Linked DNA regions of Macaca fascicularis. The protein of the gene in region 1 purifies or fractionates together with the protein of each later gene. This does not show direct contact. Links are inferred from orthologs where the notes say so. Each region holds a gene or a part of one and is shown on either strand. Other genes may lie near its edges.

The links.
Region 2: the proteins of GDI1 (region 1) and RAB5B purify together in Homo sapiens (affinity purification with mass spectrometry; 3 studies listed by BioGRID and IntAct, counting the BioPlex papers as one, with this or other methods). This does not show direct contact. The link is inferred for Macaca fascicularis from reciprocal best matches to the Homo sapiens genes GDI1 and RAB5B.

The regions. Positions count from the first base shown.
Region 1 is NC_088395.1:160,435,503-160,442,049, forward strand, and holds the start of GDI1 (rab GDP dissociation inhibitor alpha), read left to right. Parts: upstream 1-2,597; 5' UTR 2,598-2,692; coding exon 2,693-2,737; intron 2,738-4,004; coding exon 4,005-4,112; intron 4,113-4,244; coding exon 4,245-4,344; intron 4,345-4,485; coding exon 4,486-4,620; intron 4,621-5,426; coding exon 5,427-5,625; intron 5,626-5,892; coding exon 5,893-6,024; intron 6,025-6,547. Other genes in the region: ATP6AP1 (V-type proton ATPase subunit S1), read left to right, coding at 633-680, 767-998, 1,163-1,372. UniProt on the Homo sapiens protein: Regulates the GDP/GTP exchange reaction of most Rab proteins by inhibiting the dissociation of GDP from them, and the subsequent binding of GTP to them. Promotes the dissociation of GDP-bound Rab proteins from the membrane and inhibits their activation.
Region 2 is NC_088385.1:62,752,501-62,759,059, forward strand, and holds the start of RAB5B (ras-related protein Rab-5B), read left to right. Parts: upstream 1-2,527; 5' UTR 2,528-2,593; exon of another isoform or gene 2,594-2,673; intron 2,674-6,559. Other genes in the region: CDK2 (cyclin-dependent kinase 2), read left to right, coding at 67-171. UniProt on the Homo sapiens protein: The small GTPases Rab are key regulators of intracellular membrane trafficking, from the formation of transport vesicles to their fusion with membranes.

The sequences.
Region 1 (6,547 bases):
CACAGGTGACCTTCCCACCACTGTGAGTTGCAGGTGGGGCAGGGAGCCAGGGTCAGGTCTGTGTGTTGGGGTGGGGATGGCCATGGTCTGGTTGGGGTCTGGGCAGTGTGAGGATGTAGGAGGTGTCATGGCGGGGGGTGCTGTTGGAGGGGAGTTGCTCAGACTTCTGCCTCCCCATGCTTGTGAGTCTTTGGTTGGGACCTTGGTTGTTAACACCTCCCCCTTGAGCAAAACTTCTGGGACTTTGTGTGGGCAAATGCCAGGCCAGCTACCTGAGGCATTTATGGGGCAACCATGCCCTTCTGTTTGCTCTCACCCCCAAAGCCCAGCCCAGGCACCTTAGTGACCCTAAGAGGGAGTAAAAGGAGAGGTAGTGAGCTCAGGGGAACCAGAGGAAGGACCCCCATGCTGGTGGCAAGGGGAACCTGGGTCCTGGCTTCCAGCTCTGTTCTGGGCTTGCAATGCGACTGGATCCTCAGTTTTCCTATCTGTCAAGTGGGGTCACTGCTTCTTCAGGTGGCTGCAAGGACCCAAGGCAGCTTAGGTAAGAGCAGAGCTGAGGAACTTGTTCCTCTAAGATGCCAAAGGCCCTCCCAGAGCCTCATGGTGCACCTCTTTCTCTGCCTCCACAGGCTCTCACTGACCTATGAACGACTCTTTGGTACCACAGTGACATTCAAGTGAGTCCTGGGGTGGTTGAGGTGTGGGGAGGCTGGTGTGGCCCCAGCCTCCCCAGCTCACCTGACATCCCTGCCACCTTCCCCAGGTTCATTCTGGCCAACCGCCTCTACCCAGTGTCCGCCCGGCACTGGTTTACCATGGAGCGCCTCGAAGTCCACAGCAATGGCTCCGTTGCCTACTTCAATGCTTCCCAGGTCACAGGGCCCAGCATCTACTCCTTCCACTGCGAGTATGTCAGCAGCCTGAGCAAGAAGGGCAGTCTCCTCGTGGCCCGCACGCAGCCCTCCCCCTGGCAGATGATGCTTCAGGACTTCCAGGTATGGCGCAGGGGTGGCCCAGCTTCAGGTGGGGGAGCCCAGGCTGGTGTTTGAGAAACGAAGAGAGGCTTGGGCTTGGGAGTCCTGTCCCTGCGCTGCCCTTGTCCCAGTCCTTGCTGGGCCTCCCAACGGTCCTTTCTGACCCGTGTCTGTGTGTCTGCCAGATCCAGGCTTTCAACGTGATGGGGGAGCAGTTCTCCTATGCCAGTGACTGTGCCAGCTTCTTCTCCCCCGGCATCTGGATGGGGCTGCTGACCTCCCTGTTCATGCTCTTCATCTTCACCTACGGCCTGCACATGATCCTCAGTCTCAAGACCATGGATCGCTTTGATGATCACAAGGGCCCCACCATTTCTTTGACCCAGATCGTCTGACCCTGTGCCAGTGGGGGATTGAGGGTGGGACAGTGTCCGTGTTGTTGCTTTCCCACCCTGCAGCACACTGGACTGGAGCTTCCCTCTTCCTACCGCAGCATGAACCCCAAGCTCCCCTCAGCCCATCTTGCTCCCTCTTCAGCCTGCTGAGGAGCTTTCCTGGGCTGCCCCCATCTCTCCCAACAAGGTGTACATATTCTGCGTAGATGCTAGACCAACCAGCTTTCCAGGCTTAGTCGCTGTGAGGCGTAAGGGACATGAATTCTAGGGTCCCCTTTCTCCTTATTTATTCTTGTGTCTACATCATCCCTGGCTGTGGATAGTGTTTTTGTGTAGCAAATGCTCCCTCCTTAAGGTTATAGGGCTCCCTGAGTTTGGGGTGTGGAAGTTCTACTTAACTGTCCTGCTTGGCTGTCGTTATCGTTTTCTGGTGATGTTGTGCTAACAATAAGCAGTACACTGGGGTTTATTTCTGTGGCCTGAGAAGGAAGGCACCTCCACAGGTGGGCTGGGTGCGATCGTCGGCTGTCTGGCATGTTCCCACCGGAAGTGCCTGGCAGGAGCAGGGGGTGCTCGGTTGTTTCCTTCCTAATAAAGTAAACGAGGATCGCCATGCGTTGGGCCTCTTGTCGCTCATTTCTGCGCTGAGCTTTTGGCGCGTGCTCGCCAGAGGTATGCGGGAGGATGGAGCCTGGAGAGGGGGAGGCTAGGAGGCATCCCCGGAGACCGGGAGGGGCTTTAGTAAGCTGGGCCCTAACCGCTTAGGTCAGGGAGGGGTGGTCGGGCCGAGTCCCGGTGCGCTTCGGCGTCTCAGGAGGCCGTAGTGACAATGGCAGCCTTCGCGTCGTGAGGGAGCCGCCCCCGGCTGCCGCAGCGGCGCGCGTCCGGTCGCGGGGCCGCGCCGAGACTCCCGGGGGGCGGGGCGGGCGCGCGCGGGGCGGGGCGGGGCGGGGCGCGCCCGGCTCCCGCGCATGGATCCTTCCCGGGCCGCAGCACCGGCCGCCGGCCCGCCCCGCCCGCCCCGCCCGCCCCGCCCCGAGCCTCTCTGGACTCTCGGCGAGCAACGTCGCCCGCGGAGCCGCGCTGGTGCTGTGGCCCGGGCCCTGGCAGCCCTCCCGGGAGGCGAGCCGGGAAGGCGGTGTCCCCTGCCGGGTGCGGCGGGGCGCGGGAAGAGGCGGGACTCTTTGACGCGGCGGAGGGGTCGGGCGGCGGCCGACGCTCCGCCATCTTTGGTCCAGTGCGGTGGCGGCGGCGGCGGTGGCTACTGCTGTGGTGAAGGAGGAGGAGGAGCCGAGCGGGCGCTGCCACTGAGGCCTGACCATGGACGAGGAATACGATGTAATCGTGCTGGGGACCGGCCTCACCGTAAGTGCGGCCCCGGGCGCCCTTGGCCCTGCGTCGTGCCCTCGCCATTCCCCGCGATGATGCGGCCGCCGGCCCATCCTCCGGTCACTGCCATCTTCTGCGCTCGGCTCCCCGAAAAGCCGGCGCCGTGCCCACCCCGCTGCTCCCCCCGCGATGTCGCCTCTGTTCGTTGCCATGACCCCATCTCCCCGAAGGGGCCCCCTTCCTGGCCGCCCCCTGGCCTACCCGGGTCCGACCCCCGGCGCTCTCCCATCTTCCCTACCCCTGCCCTCTGGACCGGAAAACGCACCCCCACTCGGCCCGTTGCCCCCGACCCCGCCCACCCATCGCCCCCACCCCGCCCACCCATCGCCCCCACCCCGCCCACCCATCGCCCCCACCCATCACGGCATCCACCCGTCGCCCGCACCCATCGCCCGCCTAGCGTTGCCTCCCAGCGTCCCTTCCCATCTTGCGCTAATCCCTGTGAGGATGAAGTACAAGGACCTGGGGTCAGGGGGCCTCGCCAGGGTGGGCTCTCAGCCCACCCCCTCGTCGTCTTCTGGGGCCAGGGGATCCAGGGAATGTTCCAGAAGGAGCAGCAGTGGGGGCAGTAAGCACATTCCCGCAACCCCACCTCGGTTGCCCATGGAGACCTCAGGCTGAGTAGCATCTGCAGCCTTTGTCCTTGGGCTAGTGACAGTGACTGGTGAGGGTGTTTATCTTCCCCCTTTCCCCGAAAATCCCGTTGGCCCACTCCCCTCAGAGACTCTTCTCCCTCGGTCCAGACCCAGATGCCCCTCCTCAGCGGCAGGGGCTCCTGCTCTTTGAAGAAAGAGCAGTCCAGGGTGGGGCCTACAATTTCAAGGACTGTGCTAAGCCTTTCTTTGCTTCCCTTTGGAGTGTCTTTCGCAGTCCAGCTGGGTCCCCTCTGTGCCACATTGTGTTTTATCCGCCTTTTTGTGCGGCTCTGCGTAGGTAGATGCCTCTCGGCGTGTTGGTACTGGAAGGCCATCCTGTGTCTGCTGGATGCCCTGCCTACCTCAAAGCCTCCGTTATTTCACTGTCTGCCTTGTGAGGGGGACGGTCTCCTTTACCCCGCAAGGTTGCAATGGAGAGTGTGGTCGGATGAAACCATCACCCCAATTTTAGGCGAGGCAACTAGCCGGTGGGGGTGGTGGATGGAAGGAGCTGTCCACTGAGGCAGGTTTGGGTGGGGAACAAATCAGGGCTGCTGGTAGGAGCAGAGGAAGGTGGGAGTGCAGCGGATTGTGTGGCCCTCCCCCAGGAATGCATCTTGTCGGGCATCATGTCTGTGAACGGGAAGAAGGTGCTGCACATGGACCGGAACCCCTACTACGGGGGCGAGAGCTCCTCCATCACACCCCTGGAGGAGGTGAGGCTGCCTGGGCCCAGGCCCATCCCTGTTAACCTCCCACACAGCGGCACAGGGTGGAAGTAGCTCTCCAGGTGCCTGGAGCAGGAGGAGGTGGTCCCTGAGGTGTCTCTCTCTCCCTTCTGCTTACAGCTGTATAAGCGTTTTCAGTTGCTGGAGGGGCCCCCTGAGTCCATGGGCCGAGGCCGAGACTGGAACGTTGACCTGATTCCCAAATTCCTCATGGCTAACGGTGAGGGACAGGAAGGAGGTATTGCAGGTCGGGGGTGATAGGGAAGACCTAAGGACAGTCAGGCTCCAAAGGAGGCACAGCCAGACCAGCTAGAACCTCTGGAGAGAGCCGTGCTGATGTTGCCCTTGTGCACCCCCACAGGGCAGCTGGTAAAGATGCTACTGTATACAGAAGTGACTCGCTACCTGGACTTCAAGGTGGTGGAGGGCAGCTTTGTCTACAAGGGGGGCAAGATCTACAAAGTGCCGTCCACTGAGACTGAGGCCTTGGCTTCCAGTGAGTGTGGGCCCCCTGAGCCAGAGAAATCATGGGGTGGCAGGGAAGCCAACTGTCTTTGGGATGGGTGGCTGTCCAGAGTAAGGCACCCCTTTGTCCAAAGTCACATTCCCCCATGAAGGACCAGAGGCCCTTCACTCTGTATTCCCTCTGCCCCATGTCATGCCGCATGGCTGGCTGCCAAGAGGGAGGTCCCCACGCAGCAGGGATGTGACGTGGAGGGGAACGGGACTCCTTTTGAAAGACTTGAGCGTGGCCAGGCACGGTGGCTCATGCCTGTAATCCCAGCACTTTGAGAGGCCTAGGCGGGTGGATCACGAGGTTAGGAGTTCAAGACCAGCCTGGCCAACATGGTGAAACCCCGTCTTGTCTCAAAATACAAAAAATTAGCTGAGTGTGGTGGCACACACCTGTAATCCCAGCTACTCGGGAGGCTGAGGCAAGAGAATGGTTTGAACCCGGGAGGTGGAGGTTGTGGTGAGCCGAGATCATACCACTGCACTCCAGCCTGGGCGATAGAGCAAGACTCCATCTCAAAAAACAACAACAACAAAGAAAACTTGAGCCTTTGGCAGGGGCTCCACTGGATCCTCAAGACATCCCCAAGTGTCCAAGCCAGGAAAGCCCTTAGAGTCCATCCAGGCCAATCCCCTCTTCATCCTGGTGGGGAAACTGAGGCTAAAAAGGGTGGAGAGGTTAACCTAAGGTCACAGGACAGCTGGGCTGGGAGTGGGGGTGCCTGCCCTGCTGAGATGGAGAGTTTTGTGCTGCGTTGGTGCAGAACCTCCTCCCGCCACCTTCCTTAGATCTGATGGGTATGTTTGAGAAACGGCGCTTCCGCAAGTTCCTGGTGTTTGTGGCAAACTTCGATGAGAATGACCCCAAGACCTTTGAGGGTGTTGACCCCCAGACTACCAGCATGCGTGATGTCTACCGGAAGTTTGATCTGGGCCAGGATGTCATCGATTTCACTGGCCACGCCCTGGCACTCTACCGCACTGATGAGTGAGGGGAAGCTGGTGTGGCGGCAGCCCCCTCGCCCGGCCCACCTCCTGCCCTCCCCACACCTGCCTGTTGTCCCCCTGCCCTGCATGTTCCTTGTACTCAGCCATAGGCTCACCTGTCACCCTTTCCATTTCCCCCTTGCATTTGATCCTCATCTTCCCCAGGCCATTCAGGGTGGTGGGAAGACTGGCCTGGTACCTGGTACCTGGGTGGGGGTAAGTCAGGGGTGCTGCTACTGGAGCATCTTCCCTAACCCCTGTCCCCCAGCTACCTGGACCAGCCCTGTCTTGAGACCATCAACCGCATCAAGTTGTACAGTGAGTCCCTGGCCCGGTATGGCAAGAGCCCATATTTATACCCGCTCTACGGCCTGGGCGAGCTGCCCCAGGGTTTTGCAAGGTGAGGACGTGGGTTTTTTCAGTTGGCATGGCTGAGTAGGACTAGGGCCAGGAGTGGAGATGGCCCCCTTGAGCATTTCCCTGGTAGCATTTCCTCCTTTCCAATTCGTGATTTTCATTTACTTCACTCCATCCTTGGGTGATGAGGGCACAACCCCAGTGCACTGAAGTACAGAAGTCTCCACACTTGCCGGGCGCGGTGGCTCACGCCTGTAATCCCAGCACTTTGGGAGGCCGAGGCGGGCGGATCACAAGGTCAGGAGATCGAGACCACGGTGAAACCCCGTCTCTACTAAAAATACAAAAAATTAGCCGGGCGCGGTTGTGGGTGCCTGTAGTCCCAGCTACTCGGGAGGCTGAGGCAGGAGAATGGCGTGAACCCGGGAGGCGGAGCTTGCAGTGAGCCGAGATCGCGCCACTGCACTCCAGCCTGGGCGACAGAGCGAGACTCCGTCTCAAAAAAAAAAAAAAAAAAAAAAGAAGTCTCCACACTTGAAGAACCAAGTTTCCACAAATGTGACTTG
Region 2 (6,559 bases), on another chromosome or scaffold:
GGAACATCTGCTGCCCATTTAGTCCACTATCACATGATTGAAGTCAACATACATCTCTCCCTCTAGCAAATGCTGCACTACGATCCTAACAAGCGGATTTCGGCCAAGGCAGCCCTGGCTCACCCTTTCTTCCAGGATGTGACCAAGCCAGTACCCCATCTTCGACTCTGATAGCCTTCTCGAAGCCTCCAGCCCTAATCTCACCCTCTGCTCCAGTGTGGGCTTGACCTGGCTTGGCCTTGGGCTATTTGGACTCAGGTGGGCCCTCTGATCTTGCCTTAAACACTCACCTTCTAGTCTTGGCCAGCCAACTCTGGGAATACAGGGGTGAAAGGGAGGAACCAGTGAAAATGAAAGGAAGTTTCAGTATTAGATGCACTTAAGTTAGCCTCCACCACCCTTTCCCCCTTCTCTTAGTTACTGCTGAAGAGGGTTGCTATTAAAAAAAAAAAAAAAGAAAAAAAAAAAAAGCCTTCCTACATGTTAGATTTGCCGTACCAATCTCTGAATGCCCCGTAATTATTATTTCCAGTGTTTGAGATGACCAGGATCCCAAGCCTCCTGCTGCCGCAATGTTTGTAAAGGCCAAATGATAGCAGGGGGCTAAGTTGGAACTTTTGAGAACCAAGTCAAACAAAACCACTGGGAGGAGTCTATTTTAAAGAATTCGGTTGAAAAAATAGATCCAATCAGTTTATACCCTAGTTAGTGTTCTGCCTCACCTAATAGGCTGGGAGACTCAAGACTCAGCCTGGGTGGGGCTGCAGAAAAATGATTGGCCCCAGTCCCCTTGTTTGTCCCTTCTACAGGCATGAGGAATTTGGGAGGCCCTGGGACAGGGATTGTGCTTCATTCCAATCTATTGCTTCACCATGGCCTTATGAGGCAGGTGAGAGATGTTTGAATTTTTCTCTTCCTTTTAGTATTCTTAGTTCTTCAGTTGCCAGGGATCCCTGATCCCGTTTTCCTCTGAAGTCCACCTCCTACCCCATAGGAGTTGGAAATTAGGGTTTAGGCATCATTTTGAGAGTACTGACACTTTTTCAGGGCTGTGATTGAGTGAGGGCATGGGCAAAAATATTTCTTTAAAAGAAGGATGAACAATTATATTTATATTTCAGGTTATATCCCATAGGAAGGTTGGCTTTTTTTTTTTTTTTTTTGGTTAGAGTGGGTGGATTTGTTGCCATGTGCACCTTCGGGTTTTGTAATGACAGTGCTTAAAAAAAAAAAAGCATTTTTTTTTGTTTATGATTTGTTTCTGTCACCCTTGTCCTTGAGTGCTCTTGCTATTAACGTTATTTGTAATTTAGTTTGTAGTTCATTAAAAAAATGTGCCTAGTTTTATAGTTCATCTCTTTCCTATTTACTGAAAGAATGGTGAGAAACAGAATATGAATATGTATATGTGATCATTGATTTCGGACCCCTTTTCCTAATCTCTCTGTGCATGGCCACCCACCCCACCCCATTTTGGCTAGTGCTGACAGTGAACAAAGTGGTTATTATCGTTCCTATTTATGGCTGGGGAAACTGAAGTCTATATACTTCCTACTTTCTCCACACACCAGCAAACTTCCTTTCCCCCAGCCAACATACCACACACACACAACACACCACATACACACCATATATGCACACACACACACCCCCATGCACATACATAGCGGCAGGAAAAGGGCTCCCGGGGAATTTGCCTCTCGACACTGCATTTCCCAGTAAGCCCGCCCTTTTTCCTTTCTGTTTCATATCACAAACAGCAAAGTTTTCCAAAGATTATTTTATTTACATTTACATACGATTCTGAAAAAGCGTCTCCAAGCTACCACTTCTTGTAGTTGCCATTGTCTCACTCCAACAAAAAACATCTCAGACCGCCCGCCGGCCACCCCAAATACTCCTGTCCCCTGAAGCCTCACTAAAGGGAGGAAGCGCTGATGTCAGGGTTACTTAAATTCCCAGGCTCCGGATCCCTAGAAGAGGTATTTCCCTTTACGCCCGCGAATTTGTCATAGAAGGCGGGGCACTAGAGCCAGCCCCGGCCAAGTCCAGGGGGAGGGGCGAAGGTCAATAGAGGCCTTCCTAAGGCTCCTGTCAACCCCTCGCCTGCCAGTCAAGTCCCGTATTTTCGTAGTACTGGTTAAAGTTTCACTTTGACCCGCCTCCTTCACTCACCTGATTAGATGTTTATGAGTCAAAAGGCGGGGTCATGGGGTGTCGAGATTTTATTGGTGGATACATACGCCTGTCGGCACTGTACCGCCCCCTGTCTTCAGGAGCTTGCTCTTTAATGGCTCCTTACCTCGTCCATCTTCGAGGTTTCTCCCTTGCTATTGGTTTGTGGCCCCGCCTGTCGAGTCCCTTGCTCGTACTTGTTGGTGACAGCGCCCAAAGAGACCCGCCTTTCTCCAGAGGATTGGTGGATGAGTGCACATATAGCCCACCCCCCGATGGTAGGCGGGTAATCGAGCTATTGGCTGGAACCCCCGCCCCAGGGCGAGGAGGAGAAGGAGGGGCAGGAGGGTTTGGTTGAGCTGCAGCTGTTTGTCTGTTCGACACAGGCTTGGGGCCGACGGGGGAGACGGAGCCCCAGGTACCGAGCTGATGGACCCCAAAGGGCAGGGGCGGAAGCGCCCAGGAGATGAGAGCAACCTGGCCTGAGAGCGGAGGCGGGTGTGGTCCTAAGCGAGGGGTTAGAGTGGCCCACCGGAGAGGGGAGCAGGGGGCCGGGCTCCGGCAGGCCTAATGGGGGCGCTGAGGAGGGGACTGGGCGGGCTGGGACCCCGAAGTTGGTGAGTCGGGAAGGCGGCTGGCTGTGGCGGCGGCCAGGCCGAGGGCCGGGCGCTGGAGGCTCGGTGCTTGAGTGAGGGGAGGGGCAGGCCTCATTAAGCAGCGCTGAAGAGGGAGGAGCTGGGGAAAGGGACAGGGCAGCGGGTGAGGTAAGCCCATTTGCTGGGAGGTGAGGAGGGGTCAGACCTGTCGCCCGAGCCCCGGGGGTGACTTGAGCTGGGTCTCTCCAGAGAGGTTCATTGGAAGGGCCTGAGAAGGGTTCTTAGTTGGAAAGAAGCGTTCTTTTCAGGGAAAGTGCCTATTGTAAAAAGAACTGAGGGTGCTATGGTGTTGAGCTGAGAGAGATTTGGGTTCAGTGAGGGAGAACTGGGGAAAATGAAGAAGGCTGTATTAATCTAGAAGACTAAGGTAGTTGAAGTAATGGAAGCAGGGCCTGAATCAGTTATGGGAGCTTCTGGGAATGCTGAAGGGTGGGCTGGAGGCTCTGGGTCTTGGGAGTACACACTCTTTTGTTCCCTTTAGTATTTAGATGTGGTAATTTGAAGCTTTTTAAAACTCCCAGGGTAGGGATGAAGATCAAAGTAATTTTTTTTTTTTCCATGACTGTTGGCTGCTCCAAACTCAGCCCCTACACTTTCTCTTGGCTTCATAACTGGTCTATATTGCGGTCTGTTTCTTAACTTACTGTTTCCTGTCCTATGAAAGAGCCAAGAGTTGGATTGGGGGCATGTTTTGTCCACTTCTTTCCCACTTAATAATGTGGTCTATAGTGAATACCGTGTCTCCTAGAACTGAGAATCTATTTCATTATCTACATGGGAAAAGGGCTTAGAGATCCTCAGCCATCAGGAAATCTTCTGATTATAGTTGGTGAAACTTTTGTGGGACTTAGACTTGACTTGGGTATTTCCCAGGCAGGTAATGGAGTTAACAGGTCCGAAACTATGAGGTGATATCACTGAGGAAGAGATTTGGGGAAGAGTGAGAAATTCCATTTCAAAAGCTTGGCATCACCCCTTGTTCTTTGTCTACTTCAAAAGCCCAGATTTCTGTGCTGTTAAAAAGTTGGGTAAACTATGAAGTATCTGGGGAAGATGGTGAGTAGAGAAAAAGATACAGAGGTGCAGTAGCCCACGTCTGTAATCCCAGCACTTTGGGAGGCTGAGACAGGAGGATCACTTGAGCCCAGGAGTTCGAGGGTACAGTGAGCCACGATCTTGCCACTGCACTCCAGCCTAGGCGACAGAATGAGACCCTGTCTCCAAAAACAAAAAAAAAAAAGAAGAGTGGAGTACCCTCCTCCCTGCATACTTTTAATGGTCTGCTAGCCTTCTTAGTCCCTCATAGATTGGAGCCTATTGGATTTTCCCTTACTGTGCTTCCTCCTTTTCCCCTTCTCTACCAATATATTTTATCACTACATTTCTTTTTTTTTGAGACGGAGTCTTACTCTCTCGCCAGGCTTGAGTGCAGTGGTGCAATCTCGGCTCACTGCAACCTCCACCTCCCAGGTTCAAGAGATTCTCCTGCCTCAGCCTCCCAAGTAGCTGGGACTACAGGCGCGCACCACCACGCCCAGCTCATTTTTGTATTTTTAGTAGAGACGGGGTTTTACCATGTTGGCCAGGATGATCTCAATCTCTTGACCTCATGATCTGCCCGCCTCGGTCTCCCAGAGTGCTGGGATTACAGGCATGAGCCACTGCACCCGGCCATCACTACATTTCTTAATTACAAAAATAATATGTTCATATTTTAAAATATGGAAGCTGTTCAGCAGTTTAAGAAGTATAAATCCTCCCGTACATACCTTACTCATATTTCATTTAGGAAGGTCAAGGATCAGAGACAGCAAATCAGACTTATCTTGCTTTGCTTTGGGGGATGTGCCACAAAAGGCAGTTCTGTTTTCATGTTCTCACCAAACTCTAGTCTTATTCTTTCTACAGTTTTCCCTTCTGGGATGATACTCTGTTATTTATTGCGTTCCTTTCACAGTTCATTTTGTCTTCTACCAAGTCCAACAAGCAGAGGGCTGTACTGTGTGTTATTCACCTTCAGTACACACACACACACACACACACACACACACACCCCAAGTTATGTGCTGGGTGTCCTAGGAAATGCCCAAAGAGATGGAACAAAACTTTATGGGGAGAAAGGATCATTTTGTTTGGGACAATTGTTGTCATCTCTGCTAAAGAAAGGAATTTCAGAGCCTTATCTCAAATTCATGGTCTCTGGATGTTCATGGTCTCTGCATGTTCACATTACTTGACTATCTCTTTCTTATCCATGATGATGATGGTTCTCCTAAGAGCCCCCTGTATTTGTCTTTCTTTTCTTTTCTTCTATTTTTAGAGACAGAGTCTTGCTCTGTCGCTCAGGCTGGAGTACAGTGTGTGTCTTTCTGTGGGGATCCAAGAAGCTCCAAGCTTATCTGGATTTGAAATCGGTTTTCCTCTAAATCTCAAGAGTCAGAGTACAGCTGGGGCATTTCATATTACCATCTTTTTTTTTTTTTTTTTTTGAGACGAGTCTCGCTCTGTCACCCAGGCTGGAGTACAGTGGTACGATCTCGGCTCACTGCAAGCTCCGCCTCCCAGGTTCACACCATTCTCCTGCCTCAGCCTCCCAAGTAGCTGGGACTACAAGCGCCTGCCACCACGCCCGGCTGATTTTTTGTATTTTTATTAGAGGCAAGGGTTTCACCGTGTTAGCCAGGATGGTCTCGATCTCCTGACTTCGTGATCTGTCCGCCTCGTGCTCTCAAAGTGCTGGGATTACAGGCGTGAGCCACCACGCCCGGCCAACTACCACCTTATTAATTGAATTTGTCCTTACTAGCTTTAAAAGCCCTCTGTTGTACCCAGCCTTTGTATAGTGCCCATCGGAAACCTCAGTTGTTTCCCCCAAGGAACTTTCTTACCTATCCTAGAGACAGTGTGTAGGGGTGTGTGTGTGTGTGTTTTTAGATTTTCACTCTTGTCACCCAGGCTGGAGTGCAATGGCATGATCTCGGCTCACTGCAACATCTGCTTCCTAGGTTCAAGCGATTTTCCTGCCTCGGCCTCTGGAGTAGCTGGGATTACAGGTGTGCGCCACCACGACCAGCTAATTTTTGTATTATTAGTAGAGACGGGATTTTGCCATGCCAGGCTAGACTCAAACTCCTGACCTCAGGTGATCCATGCGCCTCAGCCTCCCAAAGTGCTGGGATTACAGGAGTGAGCCACTGCGCCTGGCCGTGTGTGTGTGTGTGTGTGTGTGTGTGTTTTAATCCTATCTAATTTTTCCAACAGTTTTTTGTGTCTTAAGAGGGAGTTTAGGAGTAGAATTATCAATAAGGAATTTCATACATAGACCTGGATTTGCAAAAATATATTTGGAGAAGAGAACTTTCCCATTGCCCTTCAAGTCAAATTTTAAAAAGACCTTACATCTTTTTAAAATTTTTTCTTGGACAATCCGTACTGCATAACATACCTTGTATACTTCTCTTACTTTAACTGGAAGCAAATATTGCTCATTGATATGAATTTTACTTCTGAGAAGCAGGCAAAGGGTAGAAGAAGCAAGCATATAGATTGCTCCCTAATCCTAAAGCATTTCAGATTGGAAGGTAACCAAAGTGTGAGACAGTGAACTTACAATAAGGAAATGCAGCAGCCCTCTTTGAGGAAGGATACCATAAAACCCTACATGTTATACTCCCACTTCCCACAAGTCTTTTGGGAAAGATTTAGTCATTGACTGAACAGTCACTGAA